Oryzias latipes: one gene and its partners. The protein of the gene in region 3 interacts with the protein of the main gene of each other region in a pairwise test. Links are inferred from orthologs where the notes say so. Each region holds a gene or a part of one and is shown on either strand. Other genes may lie near its edges.

What was found.
Region 1: the proteins of banp (region 3) and mrrf interact in binary tests that used the Homo sapiens proteins (3 or more experiments, as listed by UniProt). The two-hybrid records come from large-scale screens. The link is inferred for Oryzias latipes from reciprocal best matches to the Homo sapiens genes BANP and MRRF.
Region 2: the proteins of banp (region 3) and nrip2 interact in binary tests that used the Homo sapiens proteins (3 or more experiments, as listed by UniProt). The two-hybrid records come from large-scale screens. The link is inferred for Oryzias latipes from reciprocal best matches to the Homo sapiens genes BANP and NRIP2.
Region 4: the proteins of banp (region 3) and nedd9 interact in binary tests that used the Homo sapiens proteins (3 or more experiments, as listed by UniProt). The two-hybrid records come from large-scale screens. The link is inferred for Oryzias latipes from reciprocal best matches to the Homo sapiens genes BANP and NEDD9.
Region 5: the proteins of banp (region 3) and cep76 interact in binary tests that used the Homo sapiens proteins (3 or more experiments, as listed by UniProt). The two-hybrid records come from large-scale screens. The link is inferred for Oryzias latipes from reciprocal best matches to the Homo sapiens genes BANP and CEP76.
Region 6: the proteins of banp (region 3) and 5'-AMP-activated protein kinase subunit beta-2 interact in binary tests that used the Homo sapiens proteins (3 or more experiments, as listed by UniProt). The link is inferred for Oryzias latipes from reciprocal best matches to the Homo sapiens genes BANP and PRKAB2.

What each region holds. Positions count from the first base shown.
Region 1 is NC_019870.2:15,211,309-15,216,318, forward strand, and holds part of mrrf (ribosome-recycling factor, mitochondrial), read left to right. Parts: intron 1-646; 5' UTR 647-648; coding exon 649-811; intron 812-907; coding exon 908-1,060; intron 1,061-5,010. UniProt on the Homo sapiens protein: Responsible for the disassembly of ribosomes from messenger RNA at the termination of mitochondrial protein biosynthesis. Acts in collaboration with GFM2. Promotes mitochondrial ribosome recycling by dissolution of intersubunit contacts.
Region 2 is NC_019881.2:20,306,688-20,312,246, forward strand, and holds the start of nrip2 (nuclear receptor-interacting protein 2), read right to left. Parts: upstream 3,631-5,559; 5' UTR 3,162-3,630; coding exon 3,006-3,161; intron 1-3,005. Other genes in the region: klhl42 (kelch-like protein 42), read right to left, coding at 5,146-5,559. UniProt on the Homo sapiens protein: Down-regulates transcriptional activation by nuclear receptors such as NR1F2.
Region 3 is NC_019864.2:22,010,013-22,015,476, forward strand, and holds the start of banp (protein BANP), read right to left. Parts: upstream 3,365-5,464; 5' UTR 2,884-3,364; intron 1-2,883. UniProt on the Homo sapiens protein: Controls V(D)J recombination during T-cell development by repressing T-cell receptor (TCR) beta enhancer function. Binds to scaffold/matrix attachment region beta (S/MARbeta), an ATC-rich DNA sequence located upstream of the TCR beta enhancer.
Region 4 is NC_019869.2:19,396,801-19,401,810, forward strand, and holds part of nedd9 (enhancer of filamentation 1), read right to left. Parts: intron 3,197-5,010; coding exon 2,819-3,196; intron 1-2,818. UniProt on the Homo sapiens protein: Scaffolding protein which plays a central coordinating role for tyrosine-kinase-based signaling related to cell adhesion. As a focal adhesion protein, plays a role in embryonic fibroblast migration.
Region 5 is NC_019874.2:5,540,636-5,545,645, forward strand, and holds part of cep76 (centrosomal protein of 76 kDa), read left to right. Parts: coding exon 1-22; intron 23-125; coding exon 126-210; intron 211-295; coding exon 296-511; intron 512-625; coding exon 626-808; intron 809-2,557; coding exon 2,558-2,655; intron 2,656-2,998; coding exon 2,999-3,127; intron 3,128-3,391; coding exon 3,392-3,583; intron 3,584-5,010. UniProt on the Homo sapiens protein: Centrosomal protein involved in regulation of centriole duplication. Required to limit centriole duplication to once per cell cycle by preventing centriole reduplication.
Region 6 is NC_019875.2:22,986,814-22,992,265, forward strand, and holds the start of 5'-AMP-activated protein kinase subunit beta-2, read right to left. Parts: upstream 3,772-5,452; 5' UTR 3,450-3,771; intron 1,982-3,449; 5' UTR 1,966-1,981; coding exon 1,807-1,965; intron 1,737-1,806; coding exon 1,579-1,736; intron 1,480-1,578; coding exon 1,386-1,479; intron 765-1,385; coding exon 650-764; intron 560-649; coding exon 426-559; intron 306-425; coding exon 237-305; intron 1-236. UniProt on the Homo sapiens protein: Non-catalytic subunit of AMP-activated protein kinase (AMPK), an energy sensor protein kinase that plays a key role in regulating cellular energy metabolism.

The DNA of each region.
Region 1 (5,010 bases), on a different chromosome or scaffold from region 3:
GTCTGGTCTAAGAGGTCCAATATATTTGACCCATTTTGCCCACCATCTCAAACCTTTATCTGTTTGCATCTTTATTGCAAAAGTCAGTCTTTCCATAACATAAATGTCATGTATTGTTTTATACCAATCATCTACTGTTGGAGCATCAGGTTGTAACCACTTTCTTGTCAAGGCCTTCTTTCCTCCCACCAGCAATATTCTCATTAAATATTGGTCTGCTGCAGACCGCATGTGTTGTGTTACTGTTCCCAGGTATAGAGCCAAGGCAATAAAGGGAGTGTTTTTAGTATTTAAATTCCTTCTCCGATCATCCCCCAGATGTGCTCCCATTGGCCTTTTAATGGTGTTTAGGCTGTTTTTATGTAAAGATATTTGTCATTTTCGAGGACAGTTTCTGCAGAGCAGCAGGAGTTCATTAGAAATTCGTCTCAAAGTTGTGGTGGGACTGTTGGCATAAAATAAGCATACCCCTACTTCCCATCATCCATCTGTTTGCAAGCTCTCCCACTAGCTTAGAGCCCCTCACATCCCAACCCTAACATTACCGTTGCAGTAAAAAGGACGAGCAATCTCGGAGCTTTACAGCCGTACAGTTTTGAGTCAGATGCCAGCTCAGACAATCATATCTGTGATGTTGTTTTTACAGACATGGCGTTGAATCATCTGAGGCTGCTGCAGCCTCTCCTGTGCCGCTCCCTGATCTCCCGATCTCGTCTCGTGGTCACCGCCGTGGTCAATGTCAGACCTTCAGCCTGCACTGGCACCGTCCATCTCCCTGCTGCTGCATGCAGGTTCTACGGCACCAAAAAAGGTCCGTCATCTAGAAACAGGTTGCACTTGCATACTTCAGTTAGCAAGAAACTCTGATTGATGTTCATTTTCTTTTACCTTTCCTTTATTTTCAAAGATAAGGCAAAGGGTCCCTCGGCTAAAGTGAACATTAAATCTGCTTTGGTGGAAGATATCATCGACCTTGAAGAATTGAAAGAGGAGATGGCGGCTGTTGTCTATGCGCTCAAAGATGACTTCACGCGCAGCCTCAGCATTCGAACCTCACCAGGTAGTCCACCTCTGTCTGAGTGTCTGTCTTTTATTTTTGTTTTTTGTTTGTCCTCTTAAGTTTCTTAACAGCAGTAGCCTCTAAAGAGTGCATAAATACATTTGTGTCTAAATAAGATGTTGAACACAAATATCAGGTGCATGTAATAAAAGAGAGGGTATTACAGGGGGAAAGCGAAAAAATAAAAAATAAAATGAATGGATAATAATACTTGTTTAACTAACAGCTTAGCATTTTAAAATTTAATAAGCCCCCTTCTTTACTTTTGTGATTGTACATTCATATCCCTACTTCTACTGTTTGACTAAAATATGAATTTTTCTCACACACATATATGTATATTCCAGTTTGATGTAAATCTACCCATAGAAAAGCAAAAATTTAGCTCAAGTTTATGTTTTAATGCTAAACAAAGGCCTACCCCTATTTGTGCAAAAAAATGTCTGTTTTTTTTGTGTGTGTCAAAATTATCCCATCAAAAGAAATTACAGCTGGAGAATATATAAATGTAAGAAAATATGTAAATCTTCCATCAACAATTACATTTTGCGAAAGTCACCATTGCAGAACTTTATGTCAATCAATTCTGTTGATTGATGGACAGAATCCCAGAACATATGCATCCCTATAGTGCCATTGTCACAACTGCCCTTACAGGTGGATATGGGGTGTCTGCAGGTAAAAAATGGGCAAATCTGTAAAGGGCACACAGGTGGGCTGTAGAAAACTGCAAGGTCTTGGACCGCTCAGTGAATCCACAGAGCAAAAATGTACAAGCACACGTTGTTCCAAACATTGAAACAACAGCTGTACAGTATGGCACATTGTATGGATTTTTCTTTATTTGACCACACACACACACACACACACCTGAATCCTACACGCTGTGCAGGGAGCTCATTAGGCCCATTTTAGTGATAAGTGCACGTTCCATGTGTGCAACCTGGCTGTTAGAAATGAAGAAATCAGACAATCGGAGCGTAGTTTTGTGTGGGCATCTTACTGTCACATCACGTGCAGATCACACCTCATGCGTCCAGCACTTGCATGTGGTCAGCAAGGAGCCAGTGTGCGGTCCTAACTGTCCAGTCGAGTGTGGCTTAAGGACACCGTACAACAGCTTCCCCCGTACGTCATAAGTGCAGGTGACTTACACCATCCTTACAAACATGTCACAATACACTCACCACACACACGACAATCACACGTTCCATTTAACCCTTGTGCTATCTTAGATGACCCCACCTTACATTGATGTGTTCTCCCTACCATGACAAAGGTGGAAAGATTTCATGTAATCCATGGAAACCAGTGAAGATCACAAATCATTGAAGAAAAAAGGTATAGCGCACTGTCTAGTGGGTCTAGATGACCCAACTCCCAATGTTAAAGTGTCTAGGATAGCACAAGGGTTACGCAATGTCTTATGAGGTGGGCACACGAGCTTCAAGGGAACACCGAGACACATCTGCGCACCCCTGAAGACAAAGCCGCTCCTGTCCACATGCCTGCATGGGTCTGGACAACCCAAAACATGCAGCACTCGTACCTGTCAACCCCCTTAATGGTGTTTAAGCGGTAGTGACTTTAGTTTGTTTTTGGCTTTTAAGTAAGTCTTTGAATGTGGGTAATGTTTTGCTGAGCACAAGTCATGGGTTTATTCAAAAGTTGTTTGAAGACAAACAAAAGTCAAGTGGGAGGATTTATTTTTGGTTGGATTGGAGTGGAGGATTCAAAGGATTCTTTGAGGGGATCTTTAGATATACAACACTTTATAAAGATTCCTTGTTTAAGTCTTTGCCTTAAGTCAAGGTTTAAAAAGCAGTAAAATACTTATTTTTGTCCATTGTCAAATGAAACGCAATTAAGAGTAGATAAAACTTCTACAAAGAAACGTAACAAGCAAAAAAGAGAGGAAAAGGGTGACAGTGTGAAACATGTTACTGACTTATTAAACAAATGAGAGTATTAAATAAATCACACAGTGAAGTGCAGCTCTAAGCCATCACTCCTGTTTTTCTGATGTTCTAAACGCATTCATCAGGTTTTTTTTTTTTTCAAAATAAAAGACTTTCTTGGTGCTTTCATCTACCTTGTAAAGTGCTCAAAGGCTTAATCTGAGGAGATCCCCTTGTGACACTGCCTCGACCCCACTCTGGCCTCTGTTTCCCCAACTACATCCAGGCCACGACCCTTTGTCTCTGGATTCTAACAACTAGGAGATGGATTCAAAAGAGGGTGTAATAAAGTTCCCAAAGGAGGAGACTGCAGCCAAAAGCAGACTTCAGACTGAACTTTTCTTGAGTTTTGTCTGTTCTTTTTCTCTTAACATGTGTGATTTCTGATTTACTTTGGCCTTGCTGTACTGGGTGTTAAACATGCAGAGGATAGTACGGGTTTCAATTCATTCCTGTGCTTTGTCATTGATCTGTTATTGTCCCACTTAAAAGATAAGACCACCAATGCCCTTTTCTTTTGTTCTGAAACAAATAACTCTCCATTCCCCATCCATAATTTTATCTTTGAATTTCTTTCTCAACCTTTGGGTTGCATTTCTTCACAGTATTGATCTCAAAAGTCACTTCTTTGGATTTCTTTTCGCTTCCATTCCTCTCCACTAATTTTTGTGCATTCATCCCTCCATTCTTTCGTTCTTCCTCGCGGCGCTCCCATGGCCTGCTCGTCTTTCTCTTCTCCGTCCAGCTGCACGGTAATCCAGCAAAAGCAGCCGGACTTAAGGCCCAAAGCAGAGATGAGATGTTTGAATGAAATGAGGTCAGTTATCTGAACGGGTTTGTTCCATGAGCCTCTCATCTGGCTCTCATTAAACCTATGAGAGATTGTCTGCGTGGATAGGACCACATTTAAAAGTATACTGTTGTGTGCTATGAGAAATGTGCTCTTATCTGCATGTACCCACTAAAATGTGCTAATCTCATATGTTGGTAAGAGGTTTGGAAAAGGGGTCTAAAGAAATATTGCCTTTGGTCAGAGGGGCTCCTGCTGTGAGAACAAGCAGCAAGGTAACCATGGAAACGAATGGTTAAAAAGGCTTTATTTGATTGTCGAATTCTGGCCTTTTAGATATGACTGTTTAAGTTTTTATTTTTTAATTGAATTCAAGAGAAAATAATTCATTCAACCTGAGAACAAAATAAAATATGAGCCCCTAAATTTCCAAACAACTATTTTACTTGGATAAAGTAAAATAAAGTACATTTATTAAAGTAGCAGTTTTTTCTACACAGGATTTGTATATATATTTAGACTGTGTATTAACTTTAGGCTTCATTCATAGTACGGCTGTCACTAACGATTATTTCAGTGGCCGATTGGTCAGCGATTACTGTTCACATAAAATAATGTGCAATTTCTTTTTTTTTTACAAAATGTGACAGTGCTGGTACTCAGTCCATGGAGCCTCGCGTCATGTATGGTATACTGCTAATGCTCAGCATATGATGCATTCACAGAAATGGAAATTTTACATGTATAGTTCACGAATTTAGATTTCAACTTATTAAATATAAAAAGTTTAAGGTCCTATATAAGCTTTATGCTAGCACTAAAAAGACATAATTGGCTCACAAGCTATAGGGTTCCTGATCCTTGCACTAAATCATTGTCTAAACTTCCCATAGAAATAGTGAGCAAAAAATATTTTTATGAACATGTGTTTTACTGTATTGCAATTAGTAAACAGTGAAAAATTCTATAATTAATTTTCCTCCGTTAGTTTGCAAAAGTGACTTAGGTGGTATCCAGGGTGCAGCAGCCCAATCATTTCTTTAAATCCATCCTCTTCAATCATTGACAGAGATCTCATTCCTTTTAGAAACACGTTGAGGATGCTCTGTGGAAGCGTTTTCAGCCGTCTCTGGCCCCTCCCCAGTCTACAGTCAAGGGTGTAGACCAGAATTCTGGGCTTCTGCGACTGTAACGCCCATGAT
Region 2 (5,559 bases), on a different chromosome or scaffold from region 3:
TCCACGCATGATATTTCGGTCTTTTGTGATTTCTCCGTGATACAGAAGTGTTTCTTGCAATCGTCTTTTGTCCATGTGTGCGGATGTCCATCAAGGGTGTCGGCTGACATTTTGAGCCATTCAGGATTCCTGGTTGGCTGAGAATTACGCAGTTTATGTATATTGTAACTAGTTTATAAGCAATTATTACGTAAATCTTTTAGCAAGACGCATGCACAAATTTGTGGGTTTCCACGACTGTTCCACGTTTGTCTAAGGGGCATTTCACCAATGTTTAACTTTTAGATTGCGTATGTGGCGCACATATCGCTTTAAAAAATGTAACTGACGCACAAATCACTCACGGATTGCATACAAACAGCGCAATAATATGTTCTACGTTGACTTACGTGTCCTTTGCGAAGTTTGTTCGTACTTCTTCCGTGGTTTTAACGTGGTCATTCATGATACATCTGTGAAAATTTCACGTAAACAAACAAAATTTTTGTCATGTTCCACGTATATTCACGTACGTTCATTGTCATCCGTGCAATATTCACAAAATGTTTGTAAAGGATGTGTGACACGGCCTTTAGTGTTCGCTATGACCTGACGCCTGCACCGCGCCCATAGAAAAAATGTGCATGAACATTGTCGCTCTGCGAATTCACAGTCATCTATGATCTAAAAACCTCGTGTCATGTTGCCCATATTTTACTCGCCGTCAGCCCGTACCCACACATGGAGACAGTTGGGCATAAAGTGCTGCATATCGGTGCAAAGCTGATAGGAAAAGCTGCTTTTCTCTGTTCGTGTTGATCGCATAAATAATCAGAGTTATAGTATGTTAAAGAACGTGTGTTATTTAGGTGTCTCAGCATCTCTGCTGTTCAAGGGTTAAATCTGGGAGGAGGCAGCCTCATTCTGACACTGACTAATGGAAATAAAGCCCAAAGTGAGAGAACATGGACATATGCATAGAACTAGTGAGTAATTTTCCAGAACAGCAGGCTTGAGCCTAAATAATTTAATCATTATTTGGAAAACGCCATTTGCATTTACTGGAGCTGTTCAGTGGAAATAATTACATTTGTTTGATCATTTAGAATCATTTAGGTGTAAAATTAAAAAAATCAAGATAAGAGGCCAATCTGTTTTTTGTTTTTCACTTTTTATCCCTTTACTTTTTGCTAAGGGATAGGAAGCAAGAGACATTTCATTTTTGGTTTTACCTCAGACGGTGGATGTTTTCTTAATTTACAATTAAATCCTCTTTTTTTTTTTTACATAAATGCACTTAAATTTAACAGTAAATTAATTTTCATTTCCTATTTTGAGTTACTGGATAATGCAATTTAATGTATTTTTATTTGTTATTTTTAAGTTATAAATGTTTACAATGGGTTGTTTAAGGTATGATACAGACCAGGAAACACTTTTTGATATCATTGTACCTGTGACAATGACAAAGTTCTATCCTATTCTATTCTTACATAAATTGAGTTAACATAAAGTGGTGAACCTCCAGAAAGAAGCATTAAAGGTTCTGTACAGAACAGAAAAGATGTACAGAACTACAGTGAAGTAGTTCTGTACATCTGGAGGGACTCCCTCTGACAACCATCCGTTTTCCCTCCTCTGACAGGTTTCTGGGTTGACGGCTGCTTCCCAGAATCCCCTGAGCTCTTTGAGAACCTCAGCAGTCACTCTGGCACCGTGAAGCAGCTCTGGCAGAGCTCTGCAAATATCACTGGGATGCGCAGGCGTCTGCCAGACTGTAAATACCCACATTTTCTACCATAAATAAACCTCCTTTAGTATCAATTTTGCATACGCCAGCTCTTGATGTGGATAATTTCTGTTTTGCGTAAATTAATTCACATTATTTTACTAAAGTGAAGCATAAAGTCTTTCTGCTGGAACCCCCGTGATTCCATTTTTGTCCAAAAGTCTCTCTCTGACTGATGAATCACAAACTAACTTAAACTGAGTCCTCTTTTGTGACCTCTTGGATTCGTTCTCCGGGTCATTGTGATCCATCAATCAATCCTGAAAGGAGGTTCCAGGTCTTGGTTTTCATTAAGCTTCACTTTGTTTAACAGCGTCTATTAAAGTGGTTACATTATAACTATCATTTATCAAAGATATATTAAGGTGCTCGTTACTTTTTTTTTTGTTTGACAGATTGAGAGGCAGGAATAATCTTTTGTCATATTTGCATATTTTCAGCTTTTTGTTATTCTAATACAATTTTTTGATGATCATATTCATTTAAGTTTGAAAAATTAGTGCAAACACAGCGATGAAGCTTTTCACAAAAAATTAACACAAAACACCACAGCAGGGATGGATTTCAACAGCCTTTTCTAAAGCTACGTTCACACCGGCATCGGAAATGTGCGTCTAAGCAACCCCTTTCAGTAAAATTCTGTGGAAACCCTCCGGGCACAAAGCGCAACTATTACATCTTTGTCCTCCATTTTTCAAACGGTTTGCACTTCGATGTTTTCAAAAAGACACTATTCATACTTCACCACGAAAGCCAGGTCAAAGTTCAACTGGTTTAACTTTCGACAGTTCAATGGTGGCGCGTTTTGAGCTAAAAAAACGAACACATGTGCCGAAAGGTGCATGTATGTGCATATATATATATGTGCATACATATATATATATACATATATATATATATATATATATATATATATATATATATATATATATATATATACTTTTCATTGAAAGCAGTACCCCAGTGTTAAAGTAGCATCAGAGTCTGCATCCACAAAGTTGAAAGTCTAACAGGCACCGAATTTTGATGAAGGTACAATGATCCAGCCTTGTCTGATTCAAACCCTTTTAGTTGAAACAGAGAAGAAGTAGTGAACACTTTTGAGAACTGTGGCGTGAACGCTCGGATAGAAGGTAGAAATTACAGCCTATACGCTCTCCTGTTCTGCAGACCACTGCACAATTTCTGCTCGGACTCTTCAACGCTGAAGCCCCGTCATCACTGAGCATCAACTCACCAAGTCTTTAGATGTCCCGAGTCTTTTCAGCCCATCCAGGGGCAGGAGGTCAGCCGAGTCCTTGTGCGTGAACTGGGTCGCCTGTTTGAGACGCCTCTGCTGGTGCAGGATGGCTTTGTCTCGGATGGCCAGCTCACCTTTCTTGGCCTCGCTCATGGTTCTGGGTCGTACGGTTCTGTCCTCTCGGCGGTGTGAGGTTCCTGACAGCAGAGTCAACCGGCAGCTCCTGTGTCAGATGCTTCTCTCTGGGTCTCCACGGCTATCGACCTGCCTCGGGTGCTCCTCTCACGGAGACGTGCATCTTCCTCTCTGAAATCAGCGTTTGACGGAGGCTGTTCTCTCCCCTCCCCTCAGTGCCGCCTGTCCTTGGATCTCTCCGTCTCTCTATCACTTCTGTGCTTTTTTTCTTTCTTCTCCCTCCCCTCTGAGCCCGCCTCTTACTGTCACACGCTCGACAAACACATGCTCCCCTCGCTGGACGGAGGAAGACCACGGTTCCTCATGAAGATGCGAACAGCCTCTGATGTTTCCGTCAGTTTCTGAAGCCTGACACCTCAGTGCTGTGGCGGTGTGGCGGAGATCACCGCCATCTGACCTCACACGGAGGATCAATCTGCACTAATGATGGCAAACATAGATTTTTTCTGTGGCTGTCACTGTGAAGTTCAGCTTCCTTCATGCATGCATCTATACCACACCGAGCTATAAATATCTCATCCTTGTTGACCTCCACGTTACGACATGCTTTGGTGGGAGGAAGGATGCCGTCTGCAGGGTGGGAGGCTTTCTGATCCGCAGGAAAATGTCAGATCTAAATAAGAACACATCCATTTGAAGACTGGTTTTAGAAATATATTCATCTACAGAGGAAGTCCTTGCAAAGGTTAAGAGCCTACAGAGATGAGAGCCATTGAAAGGTGTGTGCTGCCCCCTAGTGGTTGCCTCATCTAAGCTTTTTCATGTTTCAGCATGAAGGCTGTTCCAGAAATTCCCATTTGATCATGGAGAAATAAATGAAATGAAATCAACAAATACGTTTTAGGAAATATTTATGTTAATCTCTAATATTTACTTCTAAATTTGGAAAAACATCTCTCCCTGTTTTTACACATATTTTACTACTTATTAGGTAAAAAGATTTTTGAAAACTTCCGTGATTCGCATCATTCAGCTTATTGATCATCGTTTTTATTTTGTTTAATGTTTCAAAGCTTTCCGAAAGAATTTGACAAACATAAAACAAAACACTGAAAATATGAACATTTTTTGTAAAAGGAAGTTTTCATTACTTGATTTAAGTCAACAAGGCTTCAACAAAGTTAACAAAAAAAATTTCCGTTTCAATGACACTAACTCACATTTTATATAATTAATAAATGGTGCTGTTTATTTATGCAAGGACAGGTTTACTCGGATCACAGAATCATAGATTATCAGATTACATTTTTTCCTTTTTTCATTTAAGACTTTAGAATCAGTTAATGAAACCACTCAGGAACTTGACATACAAAGAAATCTTTATTTTGTCATAGTTTCCAAAGACTTAACTCTTTTTCCTGGAAACAAAAACCCAAAACAAGTACATCATTTAAAAAAAAGTTTAAAAAAAAGAAAAGAAAAGAAAAACAGAACAGATTTAGTCAATTGTAATAATTCTTTTTTTGAGTTGTTTAGAGTGAGGCAGCAGAAGGCACGTGCATCTTTCAGTTCATGGAAGAGTGCCGTCTAGTGTTTCTGAAACCGTGCAGCGAGCACACAGTGCCCCGTTTGGCGGCATCAAACCAAGGCCACGGCTGTCCGCTGTGTGCACGACCACAAATGCAGCCACTCAAAGGTTTGAGGTGAAATCTGGACCGACGCACTCGTCTGTGTCTGTAGTGTAAACATCAGGAAAATGCTGAGAGAGACCACATTTAAAACTCTGCATGAAGAAATATGAAGCTTGTTCCTGCAAAGATGGAACTGCATGATGGGAAACGGTTTTCAGAGGGTGCATTTATATTCTTATAACTGTGTTAACAGATCAGAGGCACTTCTTTTTTTTTTTGGCTCCGATAGTTTTGAGGCACATAGGTTGACTTGGTCTCCTCCAATCCTGTGTTAGAGCTCAGGTCTCCGCCCCCCCCCCCCCCTCCAACAGTCATAGCACATTGGGGAGGTAAAGCGAGCACAGCAGCGTGTTCTGCCCGAGAGCAGGAAAGCGCCTGAAGGCCTCCCAGGCGTCTGAGAAAATGTTGTACTTGAGGAAGACGCGGTGCTCCAAACTGGTGAGCGGGCTCACATCCCGGCTCATCATGTAGATGCCGTCGTTGTGCAGCGCGCAGGTCAGGTTCAGACCCGACTTGGACGTGTTCTCCTTGAGCTGGAGCCACTCCCCGGTGGTCACGTTGTAGGAATGCACCGTCAGGACGTCCTCGGTCTGGCTCGGGCGGCGCCGGCACCAACCCGTCTGCAGCTCGTGGGTGTAACCGCCCACAAGGTAGATGGTGTCCTCCACCGACAGCATCTGCTGCTTGCGAATGTGGACCGAACAGGACCGGAACACGGCCCAGGA
Region 3 (5,464 bases):
AACTTCCACTTGTTTTTTAGTTTTGCTTTTTATTAGGGGGCGGGGTTTGGCAATTTAACTGCAGTTCATTGACTGCCGTTCATTGACTGACTTGAACAACTTCTTTTTTTCTTTAATCTATTCTAAATGCGCTGCTGTGCCTCAGACCACAGTCCACTATAAAGTTCATCAAAACTACTTAAAATTTCAAAAATGTTCTTTAGATGTCACTTGGGCATGCTTTCTTAAACAAAGTTTCATTTGCTACTAGAAAAACTTTTTCTTGCAAGACAAGAAAGAATAGGTTGCTGCCTTCACCTCTCAATGAGAAGGCTCTGGTTCAAATCCAAACTGGGTCCTTTCTGTGAAGAGTTTGCATGTTTTCCCTGTGCATGTGTGGATTTTCTCCAGGCAATCGACCTTCATCCATAGACGCGCTTCATCGGTCACATCCCAAGGTGCGACTCGGTGTGTGTGTAATTGTGTGGCCCTGCAGGGTGTACCCTACCCTTGCCCAAAATGACCCAGTTTAGGCTCCGGGAGCCCCGAGACCCCAAAAAAGATAGAGTAGGTTAAGAAAATGGATGGAAAGACAGAAAATAAGACACATTTTTCAGGAAAGAAGGGTCTTTTTCACTTCCTTAAGACTCCGTTTTTGCTGTTTAAAACAAAATGCAGTTAACAAACAGATCTTTGCATTTGACTTTAAAAAATAAACAGAACTTTAAGACTACATTCATTGAAGTGGACTCTGGTCTCATTTACACAACGATAAATTCTTGTGTTTAATTTTTCAAAAAGTGGGGCATTATTTGTCTTTTGTTAAAGAAATCTTCAGAGCTTTCCACAATTGTAACTTGCAAAAATTCCTTTCATAGAGGGAATGTGTGCTCCTGGCAACCATACCATTTCAAACAGGCTTGTTGGAAAGGATAACAGGAAGCGACCCTTGTAAGCCACTGTTTTTGTTTCCTGTAGGACTGAACTTTAAGAAAAAGTATCACCGATTGAAACCTGTACATTCCAGAGCATCAAGAGTGGCTTTGTGCATCCACACCAAACTGGACAAGGTCTTTATTGTATGATTTTGAGCCTTAGCGCTTTTGACTAATAACTACACAGCCTGAAAAAAGCTTGATTACCTTATTGGGCCAAATCAAATACTTGCAGAGATTATTGCCAATGCATTTAATATTGGGCCTTTTTCCACACATATTGCAAACTCCATAATTGAGGAAACAAATCAAATTTAACTGGTTTTCAAGCAAATCCTATTAGCTTAATACCAGTTATGAAATTGTGTTTGACAACAGTTGTACATAAATGCTTTGAAGTCAATGCATGTGTTGAGTATGCAATTATAATGAGTTCTATGACATTTTTAAAGCATTTAAGTTTGAGGATTTATTACATGTTCATCACTAGCAAGTTAAACATAGAATGGCACACTTTCTGCTTCATGTGACTAAACTGCAGCTAAAATTCAAAATCTGCTTTTCATGTGTCATATAGTCATGAAACATAGTTTTGGAAACGGTTCTTGATAAAAATTACTGTTTTTAAATGATAAGTCCAAAAAATGAGTGGACATTTAAACTTCCCCAAATTTCATAAATAAATACAATAGTTAATATTTGCTGAAGTGTTTTCACGTTTAGGAACATTTTTATTGTGGTACTCGTTTCTTTTAACCTATTTACGCATTATTTATGGTCAAAATACTTATAATTCTTGTTTTGTTTTGTTTTCCCAAGTCCTTTATATCTAAAATGTTTCCCCAATACCATAAATCTGTGTCATAATTAAAAGCCTGCAAAGGCGAGAGTAGTTAAAAGTATTTTATTTTCCTGATTCAACTAATTTTAAAACAGTGTATATGAATTAAAGTCCAATGTAAATGACAGTATTGGAAGATTGTTTGTTTTTCCAATAAATGGTTATTTTAAAGTAAAAATTTAATTAAAACACAATTTTATGTTTATGTAAAACAATTATCACTAAGGCTAATGACCACCTTCTAAACAAAGCATGTGTGCTTGGCATTGCTGTATTTTTCTTTACAAGCTGTGGCTAAATGGCATAACAGTTAAACTCAAGTCTCCCCATTTAATTTTTTAATTAAATCAAAATACAAATAGATTTGTTTACGTCACTTTTAGCAAATACTAATTTGGATGTATAATTTAATCAAATGTACTTTTTTTGTATATGGATTGGGGCAAAAGTAGATCAGACTGGCAATTTTATGACATTAGTTGATGCACTTTGAGAAATACTTTCACATTCATACACATGTCAATGTATGAATTTGTTTCAAAGCAATTAAGATGTGATAGTTTAAAAAAAACGACCAGAAATGCCTTACTATTTGTAAACTGGTGGTTTATCTTAATAATGATAAAGCCAGACTTTGTTCAAGCCTTCTACCTTTCATTCCACTAAATATATTTCATCTTTGCCTTGCTAGTAACGATGCAGTTATTTAACTGTATGCTATCAGTATCAGTAAATGGGAGGAGATTTAAATTAATGAACTAAACAATTGAAGGAACATAGGTCCTGATAGATGTTGATTATTGTTTTTCAGGAAAAGTACAGTTTATTACAACTGCATGAGATCACAGCTGTGCATTATAACAAGTTTCGATTAGCACAGAGCAGTGATGTACTGGCAATGGCTAAAGTTAGCACAATCCGATTTGAGAGCTAAGCAACGCAAACAGAGCGCTATTTCAGCTAGCTTAGTCGTTAGCATGCTAGTTAGGCCTACAGGCCGCTGAAACGCAACGAAGTATTTGCTAAAACGTAAAAAATTAAAATAAAATGAAAGATGATTTTGACTTGGATTCGTAGACCATTGCTCACACACGTCAATTGCACGGTGTAAGAGTGGGCTTATATTACCGTGTGAATGACGAATTCTCGTGTTGTTTCTAGAGATTCCGATAACGGCGTCGTTCCTCGCGAGAGATGAGCTCGTGCCTTCCTGTGCTCCTCCGCCGACTGGCTGCGACCGCCGAGACAGCCTGTAGGGGGAACGTGCCGACTCTTCATTAGATATGAGATCAGCGTCAGGGTGTAAAGTTTTCTTTTAGAAAAACACTTTGACACTTTGCTCAAAACTACCGACCGCCTTAAAATCTTATGATTAAAGAAATGCTCCTTTATATGAGCGGATGTTTACTGAACTATCAAATTTAAGTTTGTTTTTAGGATTACTTCCTCACAAACTAAAAAATAAACAAAGGATCCTGCACATGGATGTCTTTCGTTATTTTTTAAGCCAACGATTTGAGCAGAAAAATCAACGCTACCAGCAATATCTCGTGTAACAACTGCAGGGGGAAACTATTTAAAGAACAAAGTATAAAACTGTTATCAGCTGAACAATTTCGAGATAGTTTCAGATACTCTGTGTTCTGATTTGAACAGTGAGGGAAAATAGAGAAAATGACACACCATCAACATTTAAGACAACACACAAATTATTTAAAAAGAAATTATACAAATATTATATATATATATATGCAGATCTTTATATATTAAAGATCTGCAAAACCAGTCATTTAAAAACATTTTTTTAATTTAATTGTTAGAGAGACACTCTTGTTGCCATGTTTGTGATTCAACGTGTGTTAATACACGTTTGTTCTTTATCCATGTTTTGTTTATGTATTTTATTTATTAATTTATTTAGGTGTTGTATGAAGCCCTTCAGTCCTGCATTAGCCAAATTGTAATCAAGTGAAGGAGGCCGTATTTGTAAATAGTTGAATTGATGAATCCATTTATTTTTCTACAATCCAACCAGATCAATCTGTCTGAGGCAATTTGGTAACTGAATCAATATACCATCATAAACTTTTTTCAAAATGAAATAAATTGATTATATTGATATTGGGAAATACCATTTGGATTGAGGCACAGAAGGTTTATTTTACTATAACATAAAAACGACCAAATGCCATCACAGCAGGCAACACACGGGAAGGCACCAAAACAGGATCAAGACATCAAGCTATTGCTTCTTCACTTCAATGTATTGAAACCCCCCTTTGAATTTTGCAAAGACACGTGATCATATGGCATAATGTTCTAATCATTTTCTTTCCTTTTGGACTTTTCCCTTCAGGGGTCGCCACAGCAAATCACCTTCCTCCCTCTAACCCTGTCTTCTGCATCCTCTACTCTAACACCAAAAACTGTCACGTTTTCGTTCACTGCATCCACCTCTTGCCTGGCAGCTCTAGACTCATCATCCTTCCATCAATATACTTACTCACTGCCTCTCTTCTGGACACTATGGTCCAAACCATCTCAGTTAGGTCTCTCGACTTGATCTCTAAAACCTTTAACATGTGCTGTCCCTCAGATGTACTCATTCCTTATCTAATCCATCCTGTTCACTCCCAAGAAAAACCTCAGCATCTTCATTTCTGCAACCTCCAGCCCTTTTCCTGTCTTTTCCTCAGTGCCACTTTCCTTTGATTTGAGCTGAAACTCTTCTATCATATGAGGTTCCATTTGTGCCAAAAATATGTTTTTGTGTCCACTGTCTATGTCTTTGGTCCCTTGTCTATGTCTACTGAACGAGTTCATTGACCTTTGGTTCATGCGTTATGTTTAAAACTTTGCATTTGTCTTTCGTCGTCAGAAAAGTCCTTTGTACGGTCGGTTAATTGTTTCCTGTACTACCACGGAACGAAACAAAAAAAAGGTTTATTAAAGCCGGCGCTAGCGTTAACCATGACAAACACGTTTTCTTTAAATACATTTTATTGATATTCCTGCAAACGCACGTTGCCAGAAAAATATGAGGTTCCATTTGTGCCAAAAACATGTTTTTGTGCCCACTGTCTATGTCTTTGGTCCAATTGAACCTCATACTATCACACATTACACCTGGTACTTTTTCCCACCCATTCCAACCTGGCTGCACTCGCTTCTTCACTTCTTTTCCACACTGTCCATTACTCTGTACTGTTGACTCTGGATGCTTAAAATGCTCCATCTCCTTCTTTATCTCTTCTTCCTATAACCTCACTCTTTCTCTTGGGTCCCTCTCATTTATGCACAGGTACTCCGTCTTTCTGTGGCTAACCTTCCATCCTCTCCTTTCCAGGGCAAACCTCCATCTATCTAGCTTCTCCTCCGCCTCTTTGCTGCTCTCGCTAAAAATCACAATATCGTCTGCAAACACCACTGTCCATGGTGATTCCTGTCTAACATCATCTGTCAGCCTGTCCATCACCATTGCAAACATGAAGGGGCTGAGTGCTGAGCCGTGATGTGATCTCCACCTTAAACTTCTCTGTCTAATAATGTTATGTTTGTGTTATTTGTATGTGAAAAACTTTAGGAAATTAAAATGTGAATGGATTTCCTATCAATTCCTGTTTGTTTGTAAACATATTTAATTTACATTTGATTATTGTGCAAAAAATAAAAGGAATCTGTAAAACGTCGCTTGCACTTTTCAGTACCC
Region 4 (5,010 bases), on a different chromosome or scaffold from region 3:
CCTTAACCACAGAGGAGAAAAAAGTTCTGGAACCAGACTGGTAGCATGGGAGTGGGCGGAGCCACCATCGTCCTTTCACACCTTTTCATCGATTTTACCCACAAAGCACTTCCTCCTGCTGATGACTTGATGATTTGAAACCCATGAGCCAAACAAAGTTTCCGTTCACACCTCCTCATCTTTCTCATCAGTCTGTCTGCATGTGCCTGCAGCGCCGTCAGCATGCCGCCATCAGGTCACAGAGTCTGAACTGCTTTCTGCCCTAAACCATCACACGTGTGTTTTACGTAAAGTCTGGACTTCTTGTCTTTAAACTGTTTCTTTCGCTCTGCTGCATCAACGCAAGAGAGCCTCTATTAGAGACAATGCCCTCCCCCTCCCCAAACTTAAAAACCCCACCAGCCCATTAAAGAACTAATCAAGTCCTGAATCCCACGAGGACGACACCATCTCTACTTCACGGACGGGCTTTCAAATCCAAATAGACGTCAGCTTAACGATGATCCTCTGTGATCAAAGCAGCGTTTGAGCGCCTGCAGACGAGCCAGACTATCTCTTAAGCTCCGAGATGAGGTCCTTGGGGGGTGTTCACCCGCCTGAAAACCCTGTATGTGACCACCTCTCAGCAAACCCTCCTCTGGCCACAAAATCCATACCTCTCCCCTCGCGTGATGTTGCCATGGAAACTAGGATAATCATGGAGCAACAGGAGCATTTCTGGTGTTCTGATTGGATTTTAGGTTCAAAATCACAGACTAGCATAGGACTTCTAAGGTCTATGAGTGATTCTTATTATCCTTCATCACTCTCTAAACTTCCCAGTGGGCACTTGGAGCAGCTCTCACCCACCAACAAACCAGATGATGGCAGCCTGGACACATATGAGTGAGGAGATGCACGCCAATAAGAACAGCGTCAAAGGAAGCCATCCAGGTTTCCTGCCTCGAGGCGGACTTTTGTCACCCCCCCCCCTCCCATGCGCTCCCTGGATGCTTATCAGCACTTCCTCTATCTCTTGAGCTTTTGTTAAAGCAGAAAGTCTTTATGGCACCAATAAGCAAACCGATCTTTGAGGAGGAGACCAAACAAGGAGCAGAGGTAGGAGACCAGGGGTCAGAGAGGGGGGGGTCTGGAGGGAGCAGACAGGACCGGCTGTCATTGTCATCGCCTCAGTTAAAAAAAGAAAGAAGGGTGGCCAGATAGCCTAGAATTACACACCTTTCAAAGCTGCAGACCCCCCCCCCATCCCCATCTCTCCAAAAGGGGAGGAGTATCTCTCTGTGCATCCAGAGAGTGGAGCTCAGAGGGGGGGGGGCTGTTACATCAAACCCAACAAGCTGAGAGGCGGCGAGTGCCAAACCTCAGATACCTCTGTGTGCTAGAACCTCTGCCAGGAAGAAAAATAAGCAGGCGGGGGCCAACGTGTGACCTGGAGGACCCAAGAGCATCACGTCACAAAAGAAACCAGTTTTTGAGGGAGGGAGGGAGGGAGGGAGGGAGGGAGGGAGGGAGGGAGGGAGGGAGCACTGTGGGTCCGGTAATGGGACTCAGAAATCAAATCAAGAAACTTAAAAAACAGTGAGCAGAGAAGCTCAGAAAAGTCAGAAATGTCTGGATGGAAAAAAGAACCATCATTTCCTTCCTGGAGATCAGATGAGCTCATGCTCTTTGAATGTTGCATCTTGGGCAATCAAGATGAGGCGCTCCTGCCAGAAAATGGAAAGTTTGTCATGCACCTCCCTTTTTACAACTTCAGTACGTAGATGATTGGCCCTGCTACCGCCGTGACGAAAGGCTGTTTGGACATTAGGTGTACGGGTTACCACGTGACTTCATTCATCTCCTGAAGGCTGATCAGCAGGAAACACACCTGCTGACAGCATGATGATGTCAGCATCAATAGATCATCATGCCTCCATAATTAGTTTTAGAGCTGACTCAGGGAATAGCAAAAAAAAAATCATTTTTTCTGCACCAGGTGAGGCAGATAAACATCTGGATTGGAAAATTCCACATATTATTTACTTTGTAGCCAAAATTTAATGTTAGTCTTTTTATTCATTTACATCTGAGCCAGTTTCCTGTAAAATTTGACAACACTATTGCCTCAAAGCAAGCTCTAAACAGGAAGAAAATACAAAAAAAGCGACTTGTCCTCTGACCAGCATACAAATAAGAGCCTGCAGCATCTCGCTACACCAGTAGAGATTACACAGTAGAGATTTTTAAACTTTTCTATGACTCCTGATTCTTCAGATTCACACTGTCGTTGTTTTTTGTGTCCTCCAAAGACACAAAAATGTCTCTCTTTGGTTCAGTGGAAAGTCTGCTTGCATGAACCAGAGACGTTCGAAGGACTCAAACCAGGAGTCTAGCATGATGCATTCATAGATCAAAAGCTTGAACCAGTTTAACATTTAAATTCTTTAAGGAAAGTGACATCTTTACACAGGAACTCTGGGAAATTGGAGTTTCCTTGCAAGGTTCTCAGGATTGAAGAAGCCTGAGTAGAGAGAGGGGGCTCTGCTTCACCAAACTAAACAGATCTGCTGTTTGCTTTTCCACAGCTGCCGCTCACATTTGCTGCCTCTCTGCAGCTCAGACTCGCTCTGCAGCGCACAGGGCGCCAACGCACCACCACCGGAAACGCCGCTGTGGTGAGTGTTGGCCCACAGCTTCTGCCTGGTCACAACTCCACCTCCCTTTATGGCCAATGCAGAGAGGGAGGCTACGCCCACTATGTTTGTTTGCCCACTTTATGCAAAAAAAATTCCAAGTTTCAGCAAAAAAAGCAAAAGAATTTTAGGTTCTGTCCTACCTTGTTGGGTGTGTTCTCGCCGCAGAGACCCCCTCGCGGTGGGACCTGGTAGACACTCTGCTGCTCTTGTGGGACCTGGTAGACATTTTGCTGCTCTGGTGGGACCTGGTAGAGCCCCTGGGCCCCTGCCCCACCTCTCTGCTGGTGGCCCTGAGGGGGAGACGGAGTGGCTGACGACGGGGCCTCAAACATGGGTCCGATGAGTAGCTTCAGGCGGTTTCCGGGGGCAATGCCCTGGCGGCCGTGCAGGGAGCAGAGCCACCAACCCTCAAGTCCCCCTGTGTTCTGCTCAATGACAGTCAAGATGTCCCCCTTCCGGAAGGCCAGCTCCTCAGGGGACTCCGGCACGTTGTCGTACAGCGCTTTGGCCATCAGATTCTGCAGAAAGGGGGAGGGGCTTAGTTTTTGATGCAGTTTACAGACTTGGATCACAGCCCGAGGGCAGCTCAGCATTCTCAGTGAACATGTGACTGGCTGCTGAGATAATCACCACAATCTGCAGATACCATGATGATAACTCTGGAGCCACCATCATGAATTCTCCTTCTTCGGCTCATTTCATGCACGCTCCATTTACCACCATTAGGACATAATTGACTAGCTCAAGGGTACATCAACATGAGGAGCAGGAAAGTGATCTTTCAGCAAACAACCAACGACTCTGCAGCAGCATCGACGCTAAACCGACACCCGCCTCTCCACAGAGGTCTTCATGGTAGAAAAATCCAAGGTGAGGTGACGGATGCAGATGAAACTGCTCACTTTTAATCCCCAGCAGCTGTAATCTCTCAGATGGATTAAAGTCCAGCATAAACAAACTGCAGAAAAACAGAAATGTAATTCCATTATAGACTCAATGCCTGTTCTACTTAGTGCACAGACCTGCTCATACGATTGAACCTCTGACACAGACACTGAACAATTGTTTGTGTTTCCTCAAAATCCTGCCATGTTTGTCTTTTGTTAACCTTTGGATTTATGTTGGCTGACTATACAGCACCTGACAGGAAAACTGGATACACCTGATCTATTTCAGAAAATACTGCAACTAAATTCAAGGTGGAGACTGTGCCGACTCTCTCTGTCCAACCTCCTGCCAGTACGAACTAGGAGAACTTGCCCTGCTGATAGTTTTACAACAAATTCATTGTTTGATGAAAAAGTGCCAAAATCAGGAGACCGGTTCTTTGGTTTGACATTCGGTTAAAAACATTAAAACAAGACTCAAGAAACTTATAAGAAAGTTTGGATCCATAAACATAAAACACATCAACGTCATCTGGAAAGACAGTTTGATGGTTTATAAGAAAATGTTGGTTCACATTTTCCTATGGATTAAGACTCATCGTTGTGTTGGTTTGAGGGTTCATGTAGAACCTAGAATCCCAAACTCAAGTCTAGATTGAGACTCATACTTCTGTTGGTTCAGATTCATGTAGATTCAGACTTATAGTTCTGTAGCCCATGGGTCCGTGGGTTCGTCTGTGTCTCTCGACAATCTAGATCAGGGAAGGGCAACTCCAGGCCTTGAGGGCCGCATTTCTGCACGTTTTCCAACAAACCTTGCTCTTGCATGTTCCAATTGGCTGGACACACCAGGTACCAGTCATAAGTAGGGGATCGGATATCTTGAAATTATGCAGATACACTGGCCCTCGAGACCTTGAGTTGCCCATCCCTGATCTAGATTGAGACTCTTAGTTTTTTCGTCTATTGGTAAGTGGCGTCCCTCTAATTGGTAAATGGCGTATGCATCCACCCACACAAATTTACAACACTGATTTACACTACACTGCCGAACACTGGCAATGCTGGGTTCAGTGTCTTGCCCAGGAACACTTGGACACATGGGTGGGGTAGGCGAGAACCGAACCTGTGATATTCCAATGAGAGGTCAACCGCTCTACCTCTGCACCGCAGCCATCTCTAGACTGAGAATCATAATTCTGTCTGTCCATGTGTTCCTCTAGAAGTAAGGTTTGAAGACTTCACAAGTTTCTTCATAATTGAAATCTATCAGAATAATCAAATGAATTTATGTGAAGCTCATTGGCTGATGACAGTCAGCTCTCGCCTGGAGGAGGTCTAACTGAAGAGGGAAAGTAACTGCACAGGATGCCATGTTGTGTTGAATCTGAGGACCGTGGATAAATCCCAGAGGAAACAGATCTGCTCTCTGTGGTTCCGTTTTT
Region 5 (5,010 bases), on a different chromosome or scaffold from region 3:
GAAAGACCTCCGTTTCAGCCAGGTGTTCTCGCCTCTCACTGACAGATCACATGTTAGAAACGAAGAGAGCTGTCTCTATTCAGAAAAGACTGAGGAACTCTATCACTAACTGCCTGCCTTTGTAGGAAAAAGCAACAAAAACAGCATCAGGATTTCCATCTAAGCCTTTCAGTCATTATGGTGACAAAGAAATGACCGAGCTGAGACAGAGTAAGAGAAATTATGATGCGGTGCACAGTGTCGTGTTTGTGTCATACTTGTTTTAATTTTTCTTACTTCTTGCAAATCAACGTAGACCCATCAAGGCAGTACCTGCATCTCCAAGTTCTTGGTGGGAAGGCCTTTCTGGAGCACCTGCAGGAACCACAGCCGTTACCTGGTCAGGTGTCTTCTACGTTTACACTCTACCTACATTTCCGCGACCAGAGGTTTGGATCTAAGCCTGTGCCCTGTACCTGTGAACCAGACATGAGGGAAAACTTCCTCCTGGAACTCTGCAGGGACAATGCAGGTAGGAGGAAAGTAACTGTTTAGAGGTTAGTGAAGATGAGCTTGAACTTAGGTTCCAGGCTTAAAAAATACATCTCCTCCTTGAACCTAATCATGACTTCTTTTCTTGTTAAAGATGGAGGTAAAGTGATGGATGCAGCCTCTATGCTGTCTATATGCGACCCTATCCACTTTGTCCTGATCAAGACGGACATTTCTGGTGAGACGACGCTGGTGTCGTCCTATTTCCTGGATTGGAGGCCAGTTCTCAGCTCAACAAACAGCAAGACTTGTTTTGCTGTGGAGTTAATGGGAGTTGGTAAGCCACCCTGATTGTTATGGTCGGATAAGCAACCCCTACTTTTAAATAATATATTACCTTTGGCACACTAAAGAATGAATTTATTTTTAAATGAGTTAATTTTGTAGGTCATTTTCCTACCTGGAAGTAAAACGTCTCGATCTCTGCGGCTCCGCCTTTCTGTCCTTGTGGGTGCCGCCCATTTCATGACATCATCCTCGGCAGCATGTCTGCCTTTCACCCACAAAAACAAACAACATCTGAACTTTTGCAAAGATGGATGTTCATATTGTGGAGCAGGGCTGCTCATTCCTGGTCCTTTAGCTCTACCACCCTGTCTGTTTTCCAGATCTCCAAGCTCTGCTAGCTGCTGAATGAGGGTGTGTGTGTTAGCGTGGGGGTGGGTTGGCACCGCAGACTCTTCCTGGAAGGGGCTGTTCCTCACTTTGTAATGCTGCAATGTGAGGGTCCACCCATTTTTGTGGATTGGGAGGGGCTGGGGCTCAGAACGCAGGTTTTTAGAGGAATACTCAGAGATGTGTGAACGGATCACAATACTGCTTTGGGGTTGTTTTTTGTGAGGAATGAACATTATTATACATTTAAAAGCTTAAAAAGTTGATTCTGCTGGATACAGACCCTTTAAACCAGGGTTTCTCAAAGTTTTTGTAGCGGAGGGCCAAATGAAGAACTCTGCATTAGACTGGGGGCCAATTTTGGTTTAAAAAAATGGATAAACAGAAAAGGTTGTTTTTAATAACTTGGATGACCAAGTGTCATTGTACAGTTAACCAGGCCCAGGCTGTGCAGAGACTAATGCACGGAGCATCAGTCAAAACACTCTCAGCAAAGCGGGTTAAAGTTCTGCAGAACCTCCCAGCAATAGATTGTAGTCCAGCGACCTGATGGATCAGAGTGATGTGTACAACGCTCTGAAACAAGGCCAACGTCATGGCGATGGTGTGCGAGAAAGCTGAGCTGCAGCTGCAGAGCAGACTGTCATGGAAATAAAGCATCTTTGCCACATGAAAGCATCTCCTTCATCTGTCATGCTGCTGCATCATCATCATAACACTTTATTGATGTTTTTCCCCTTTATTCTTGAAGCACCGTTCAGGCTCCTAAACCATTGAAAAGTACTGGAGAAGCTACATTTACCAATATTGGAAATAAACATCACTTTATTTCGTCAATCATACTTTTAGAACCTTATTAGTTAAGGCACATTCATTCTTTTTTTTTTCTTATACTGAAATATATTTTTTTGTGGAAATCAGACAAAGTATACTGTTCCTTTTCTATATTTTAACTTACCAAAACAAAAGCAGTGTGAATTTGAGATACAGTTGCAGTGCTTAACATTGTGATCATTAAATAAAATGGATTTTTACCATTTCATCACTATGGAAGACATTAATATTCAGGTAGTTTTTTCTAAGTGATACCCCCAAAAAAAATAAAAATAAAAAAGAAGTGTTCTGGTAGAACGTCGGGATACGTATAGTATGATCAGACTCTTGGCAATACACATCCGTAGATTATAGCACCAGTCAAATGCATACGTCTGCCTTTTTATGGATGTTTTAAAGTGACATTTTTCTTGTATTTATATTTGGATTTTGAACCAGAGATGCTTAAACACGCGGTAAAAAGAAACCTTAAAAGGTGGAGGAGGGGATCTTTCTTCAAGTAGATTCCAAAAGTAAAACAAGTTTTTTTTTTGTCTTATAAACGCTTATGCTGTACTAATAATTTCTTGAACCACAGGAAGTGAATGCAAAGTGCCAGCTGGTGTTCTGACAGTCAACCTGGAGCTGTACCCTCCTCCAGCTGTGAATCTAAGTGCAGATGTCATCAGCACACAGGTCAGCAGCATTTCTGAAATCAAGTTTCTGAAACCATCCGTTGAATCACCAAACTCTGATTCTTAATGAAGGCACCCTAAAGTAACTTAGTGAAAACCCTGACGGGATAGAAACTGCTGGAAGCCAGAAGAATAAATGGAGTTTATTTAAACGACTCGCTCTCTCATTTTGTTTAATGTTTTTTTTGCCAAGTCCTGATGTAGAAGTGTTTGCTTTTTGTTGGTTTATTCTGGTGTTTCTCTTCAATAAATCAAAACAAAGGTTTAAATATCGGATATTTGTATCAACCAAAAGAAGCTGGAAGGTATTGTGTTTCTGTGACCCGTGTGTGATTGTCCTGCAGCAGTCACTGGAGAGGACGAGGACGGCAGAGAAGGACAGGCTCTTCTTGGTTTATGCTAAACAATGGTGGCGAGAGTTCCTGGAGATTCGGGCGTCTCATCAGTCCAAGCTGGTCAAAATATTTGCACAGGTTAGTTCTGAGATATTTTAAAAAAAAGATGTTATTAAAAAAAAATTACAGCTGCAATGTCATTAACTGATAATTCACTTGCTGTGATCATCAGATCATCATCAGACTTCCTTTTGTATCTGGAAACATTTTTTTGGGGAGGAGATTGGTTCAAATCATGATGCATGATTCTAGAAATTACCGATATCTGCTGCTTTTTATGTTCTGTTTGCTTCAGTTCTTTTCCAGAACGTTTAGCCCTATGCTTCTGTTGTGTGTCTGCAGGACGAGAACGGCGTAAACCGACCCGTCTGCTCTTATGTGCGTGTCCTCCGGGCTGGCCGCCTCCTGGAGAGCTCGCGCCACGCTGCCCGCTTCGTCAGCCTGCTGGCCCACGAGAGGGCTCCGATGCTTGGAGGAGGAACGGGCAAGCAGGAGCAGTGGTGCACGTTGATGGCTTTTCTGTGTCGAGGAAAGGTGGGTGTCTGCTGCTGAACATCCACAACACAGATGGTCTGACTTTCAGACGCTGTTGATGTTTTCTGGTCTGTGGCAATAGCATCAAAGTTTGTTTCCATGTTTCTTCAAACCTTTCCTTTTCTGCCTTTTTCATACATGAGCTCCCCCAACCTGTGGCTTTATCATCCTGTAACTGAGGCCAGTCTCTCACTTCATTCCAATGGGTTTCAGGTTGACTTTAGTCCAGGATATGCACAAAAGAGGCATTTGGGACCTCAATATACCTGCACTTTCTTTTGGGCTTAAACGGTAACATCAAGTTGCAGGTTTTGATGAATCTTTCCATCAGCAGGCTGATGAAGTTCAGACTCAAGTCTGCTATAAGTTCTGGGTGTTGGTAGACTTGGCCGCTGTGCAGCTCATCCTTACAGTGACCTGTTGTTTTGAGTTTTGGTTGGCTCTGAGATTCCTCAGTCTGAGTACAATCCGTTCTCTGAGAGGAACAATTGAACCAAACGGCCACCATAGCCGGTCGTCATGTGATGTCAGCAGAGAGCCGCAGATATACTTGGAGCAACAATGCAACAGCAACTCGCTGAAATGTAATTGGATGAATGCAGGCTCATTGAGACAACTTTAAACTGTTTGGGCAGTGGCAGGTCGGCCGATGATCGAAGGATCGGAAGGATCCCCGCTCCCCCCAGTCAGCTGTCGTTGTGTCTTTGGGAAAGACACTTCACCCTCCCTACCTCCAGTGTGGTTCCACTGGTGTGTGAATGTGTATAAATGTCCCGGTGATGGTCAGCGTAATGGCAGCCATGCCTCTGTCAGTCTGCCCCAGGGCAGCTGTGGCCACATCAGTAGTTACATCACCAATGAGGAGTGAATGAATAATGGACACATTGTAAGAACTTTGAGCAACTGGAAAAGTGCAGATAAATCCAATCCATTATTATTATTATTTTTTTCCAACAATCTGTTTGTCAAAAACACTTATCAGTACCATCTTAGATGTCGCCTCCTCATTAACCGCCTTGCAGCACCATGGCTCCGTAGTTCCAAAGGAAAAAGTGTTTCACCTGACATTGGGACAGAGGTTCAAAATTGGTCATTAAAATATAAAGTTTGAATTAGTGAACTATTCCTACAAGGATTGCAAAGCTCCGGACTTCCACGATTTCTGCCTCTAATTGCTTTACCCCACCCTCGTAATTCCTGGCCAATGACTGAAGAGATCTTTAGTCATGTGGTTTTCTTGACACGCTTTAGTTGGAAACAGAAATCTCCGGCAGACGCCAGTCTGAATACAGACCAAACGCAAGGTTCAGGACTCGATCTGGACCAAAGGATTTTTTCCAGTCTGAACACGCCCTAAAGGTCGCCCCAGGTTATGTACTGTCTGTCAGCTTCAGAAGCGTTGGTAAAAATGAAATATCAAAAGGTCA
Region 6 (5,452 bases), on a different chromosome or scaffold from region 3:
TTTTCACCAAAACATGCAGTAAGAAAGAAGAACTGTAAAAACAATCAGGTCCTTGCAGTCCAGGGCTAATTAAATGAAGACAAACTAGAACCAAAACTGTCACGATCAAAATTCAACTCAGCGACACTGAGGAAAACTAAAAAGATGAGGCAAAGAGGCAGATAAAAAATATATATATATTTTCCAATTTAAATGGAAAATTCTGTCTAAAAGCAACATTGTAACAGTGAATGTACCTTTATTGAGAGAGCGTAAAGGTGATTTAGCATGACGTGGTTGGGTTCAGGCAGCAGAGCAGGGTCACACTGAAGTGCAGAGACCAAAAAAAAACACAAAGATTATTGTTCAGAGAAACAACAGCAACATGGAAGCAGACGGAATTGACAGTAAAAGGATGAATCACTGAGAAAACGTAAAACACTGACTGATATGTTGGTGTCCTTGTTAAGAATGACTTGAAGCAGGTGAGGGGGGAGAATCGGAGGGGCTTTGAAGTGCTTTTCGGGTCTGAAGATGTACTGCTCTTGTCCGTACGGACCTGGAGGCGAGCTGGACAAGTCTGGAGACATGAAGATGTGTTCAAGGCCGAAAATGTACCAATCTATTTAGGCGAGCAGCAAGAGAACAAGATCTATCACAGGAGACGCACCTGATGTGTCCGAGCACTCCAGGGAGTCCACCTGCAGCGCGTCAAACACCTCAAAGTCAGACTTCTTCACCTGGATCAGGTTGTTGATCGTTCCCAGCTGGCTGGTTACCACCGGCTGCAAAACAGCAACGATCCTGAAGTTAATCATCTAACATGTCAAACATTAACACCTTAAAAAAAAACACAACTGCTATGACAAGCACCAAATGCTAAATGAAGAGACCAAACACACAAATTAACTTTATTTATAAAGCACTTTTCATTCTACAGTGAAACAAAGTGCTTTACAGACTTAACCCCCTGACGGCCCAATTTATTCCCAACAATTTCACTAATGCTTGTGCTTTTTAAGTTGATGCTAGATTAAGGTAAGTTTGAAGCAGAAGTTGTTTAATGAATATTTGCATGAATAAGGGGTAAAAAAAAACAATTAAAAATGAAATTATAAAACATACAGAACCATCCTGTCCAATCTGTTTTAGATGGGTTAGTTGACAAGTTTTGACCAATGCCAAGCTTAAAATCTGTTCTTACTGACTTATACTCCAAGAAAACATTTCCTATTGCTTCAACCATGTTACTTCATATTCAGTTAAGATGACTTGTTGCCAGCAAATTAGCTTGTTAACGCTTTCAGTTAATCCTTTAGGTTTTGATGTTGACTGCAACCCAGAAACCAGCAGAGCTCAAACTTTTTTCCACAAAAACTACAAGCACAGAAAAATGACTCGGGTACCTCTGAAGGATCATGAACCCACTGTCCATCCACGAAAAACTTATACTGGTGCTCTCCTTCAGGCAGGTCCAAAATGGCAACAAAGTCATTATGGCTTTGAGGAGGGAAAGAAAAAGCAAACAATATTAAAACGATGACAAAACTTCAAAACACATTCGACACCAGTATAACTGATGTAAAACCAACGGTTTACCTTTTATTCAGTGGAATCTTAGTGTTCCAGTTATTGAAAGAGCCTGCGATATAAACCTCCTTCCCCCCACCACCCCAGCGAATCACTGTGGGACGGGCCTGGGAGGCAGTTTTCACCAGGTCATCCAGATCCGGGGTGAATTCTTTATCTCCTAGCCCCTAACAGCAAACATAAATATTTATAATATGAAAGAAATGAGATTATATAGTGAAGTAGTTGGATTCCTACTTTAGACTCAGGTCCATAGGTGTTGAAGATGTTGGGATCATCTGTGCTGTCCACCATCTTGGTGCTGTGCTCCTGGTCTTTGTGGCTGCCGCTGCTGTCGGAACGATGGGCCTTGTTTCCATGCCGATCTCCAGATACCCTGTCACTTGTGTTACCCATGATGCTTCACTGCTTACTGTGCAAAATATAGGGGGGAGAAACTCTTGAAGTGGGAACTAAACCATTATTTATAACACTTTTATGACAAATGTTCATTCATGTTTGCATTGAGGATATTTATTATTCATATTTATCAGATGCTTTCTATTATTTTCTGCTTTCATAGAGGATTTTTGTCGTCTTTTCAAACAGTTTACAATGTAAGTCTTTTCTGAAAAACTTGTTTTTCACTGAGCAGATTAATGCCAAAAAACAAACTTGAAACTATTCTGTAAACACAGTTTCACTCGGTTTCTTAAGGGCATGTAAATGCATCTGGTGACAGTTTTTCCTCTCCTTATTTTTCCTTTTTCAGTTATTAATTTGAACCAAGTAAAGAGCCAGACTGACTTCAACTCCCTTGCTAAAAAAAAAGTGAACTCTGTAAAGATGATCTGATTTAAGCGAACTCTAGGATAACTTTTGTTTCATATTACTAAGAAATTACAAGAAAGTAATGTTAGGCAAAAATTGCTTAAGTACCAAAGTAAGCTTTTTAAAAAATATTGTATCATAAAACATTGATAAGATTGGTTTAAGTTAACGACATGCAACTATTCTATAATAATCATAGTAAAATGTACTTTTTACTAAAAACCTAAAAGAGAATACAACTTCTAATTGAATTTTGATCACATGATGGTGCTTGTTTTCACAAGCATCACCTTTTACGTCCCCACAGAGACACTGATCCCCCCTCCCCCTACATAGAAATGAGCAGTATAAACCTTTCACACTATAATCAAGTCCATCACTTCAAATTAGTTTACAAGCTAAGATGTCTTAATTTTAAAGGATAAAATAGTAGGAGGTTTCAGTGAACAACATAGATAAACGATCAAATTAAAAAAGAAAAAACTAAAAGCTCAGGGCACAAAAGCTTCTATTTACTACAAAGGCGCAGGTGTTTGCTGAACACTGTAGACTGGTGGGTTCACCGTGACACTGCTGGATTCATGGAACACTGATCAGCCTTGGCTTTAGTCAACAAACAGCAAATCCTATTTCGCTTTATGTCACATTGTGTGACATTCACATATGTCACACTCTGGTTTTACAGAAAATAAACTAAAATTGTGTTACTCGTGAGAGTTAAAGTTATAGCTATAAAAAACATCAAATCATCAGTTGTGATTGTTGTTTTTTTCTTCTTAGAACTAAGGATGATCCAGAGTCATATTTAAAAATAAATCAATCAAAAAACAAAACAGCCTAATGATGTGGAAAACAACGATACGTTTATCTTTAGATTATAAAGAAAATAAAAATATTCACAACAGCTAACCTACCCACGTTTAGAAGGTATTTTTAGCATCATGAACTATCAGTGAACTTCCCTGGACACAGATGGGTCCCTTCGAAAATCTGCTTTAACTACAACCGAATGACTTGCGAATCAATAAAAAGCTTAGTTCGTATGACAAAACACACTATTTGTAACCTACCGTGGTAACTGCGCAGGACGCTTTTGCTGTGCCCGCCTACCTCGCGACTGTCCTGGTGAATATTTTTAGCTGCTGGTCGCTGTTAAAGTCAGCTAGCAGCTAGCTAGCTGTCACTCTGCTTTCGAACCGGGAACTCCTTTCACTGTGTAAATAACAACTAAAACAATTTAACTAATTTGATAGAGTACTTGTTGTTGTTTTTAGTCATTTAAAAGAACCGAAAAGGGTTAGAAGCTCGGCCTATCGCTGCTGAGGCGATGATTTGTGTTGAAGAGCAGCAGGAAAGTCTGTGACACCAGCGAAGATCCTCCCCTTTTTACAACTACGGCGGTCGGTAAAGGAAAAAAAGCAGTCAGCCGCGACAAAAACAACATCCGGTAAACAAACAAACAAAAAAAAAAACATTTTTATGAAATTTTACAAATACTTAAATAAATGTAATTAATTCTTTATTTGGTGTCGTGTCTCTTCTTAATAGTGGTTGTAGTAAAATTATCCAAATAATGTACAATTTAGTCAATGTAATTTTTTTTTACAAATAAAATGAAATGAAATTAAAAGACATTTTTATACTATAAAATGTAACATATAGATGTATCAAGTATACTATTTATTTAATAAAAAAAAGATTTACCCTAATTTGCATAAAAAAATACAAATTATTGTGTTACTTAAGTCATTTAATGACGTTAATGCAATGAGCATAAGTGTTTCTCATTCATTTTAATATGTATTGTTGTCTATGTGTACTCTCGATTCAAAGTGATTAATTATTTAGGGGGGTTGTAATTACTTAATTTAATACACTGTATTTTAGGTAAAACAGCTGAGTTGACATCCCTGGCATTTTTCATTCTATCATAGCTTTTTTTCCATCAAGGTAAACAAAATGATTTAAATGACATTGTGGAAATGATAAGGTGTGATTCCCCCCCCCCTCCCCAGCAATTTGTTACTACAATATCAGCTCACCTATCACATCACAACTGCTTTGGTTGCGGGTGTTTATAAAATGTTTTAAAAAGTTTAAGTTACAACATTAACTGAGAAATTGAATTTTGTTTATTTTTTAGTGAGCGTATTTCTGTCCAGGGCTGTACTGTGGCGGTGAGTGCTCTTAGTTCACAGCGAGAAGGTCCTTGTCCAAATACCAGCTGGGACCTTTCTGTGTGGGTTTTCTCCAGGCACCCTGGCTTCATGCTAAAGTCCGAAAATATGCTTTATAGGTTAATTGGTGAGTCTAAAGTGTCCCTTAGTGTAGCTATGAGTGTGTGGCTCCATTACCGACTGGCAACCAGTCCAGGGTGTACCCCACCTTCGCCCAACAGCTGGGACAGGCTCTGGGGACTCTGTGACCCCGAAAGGGATACAGCAGGTTAAGAACATCAATGGATTTATGTCCAAACACTTTTATTCTGTCACTCATTTTTAAATTTTAACGAAAGACCATATTTCTGATGTTCATTTTTGATATTCATGAATTTATTTGCCTAAATTTTTTACATGCTTTAATATAAAAGAAAAAAAATTGATACATGACAGTATTATCCCCTGATATGTTTTTCATGATGCTATTTTCTTACTTTTATTTTTTAAAAGCCTCCTTTCCTTAAAAGACCAGACAGCCCTGATTGGTCAACATTTGCTGTAAAGCAGTTACTAATTGAGGCGTTTTCAACCTGATTCATATGGGCGAAGAAAAAAAAGGGGAAAAAATACATAAATTGTTTCTTTTAGCATTAAAGCCTTGCAGACTTAAAATCACCAAAATGGATAGTTCTGTATAATCTTTTTAACAGGACTAAACTGCAAAGCAAAGTACTTTAAATCCTTACAGCCTTAAGATATATAATTACAGGATTTCCTAAGATAATTTAAACCAAATAACTTATTTTTTTAGAATTTCATGGGGACTGTTTAATCAATAAAAGGTCAAATTTACTAATTGCAATGGAAAAAGTTCCAATACCTAAAATCTGACAACATCAAGAGCAAATCATAAA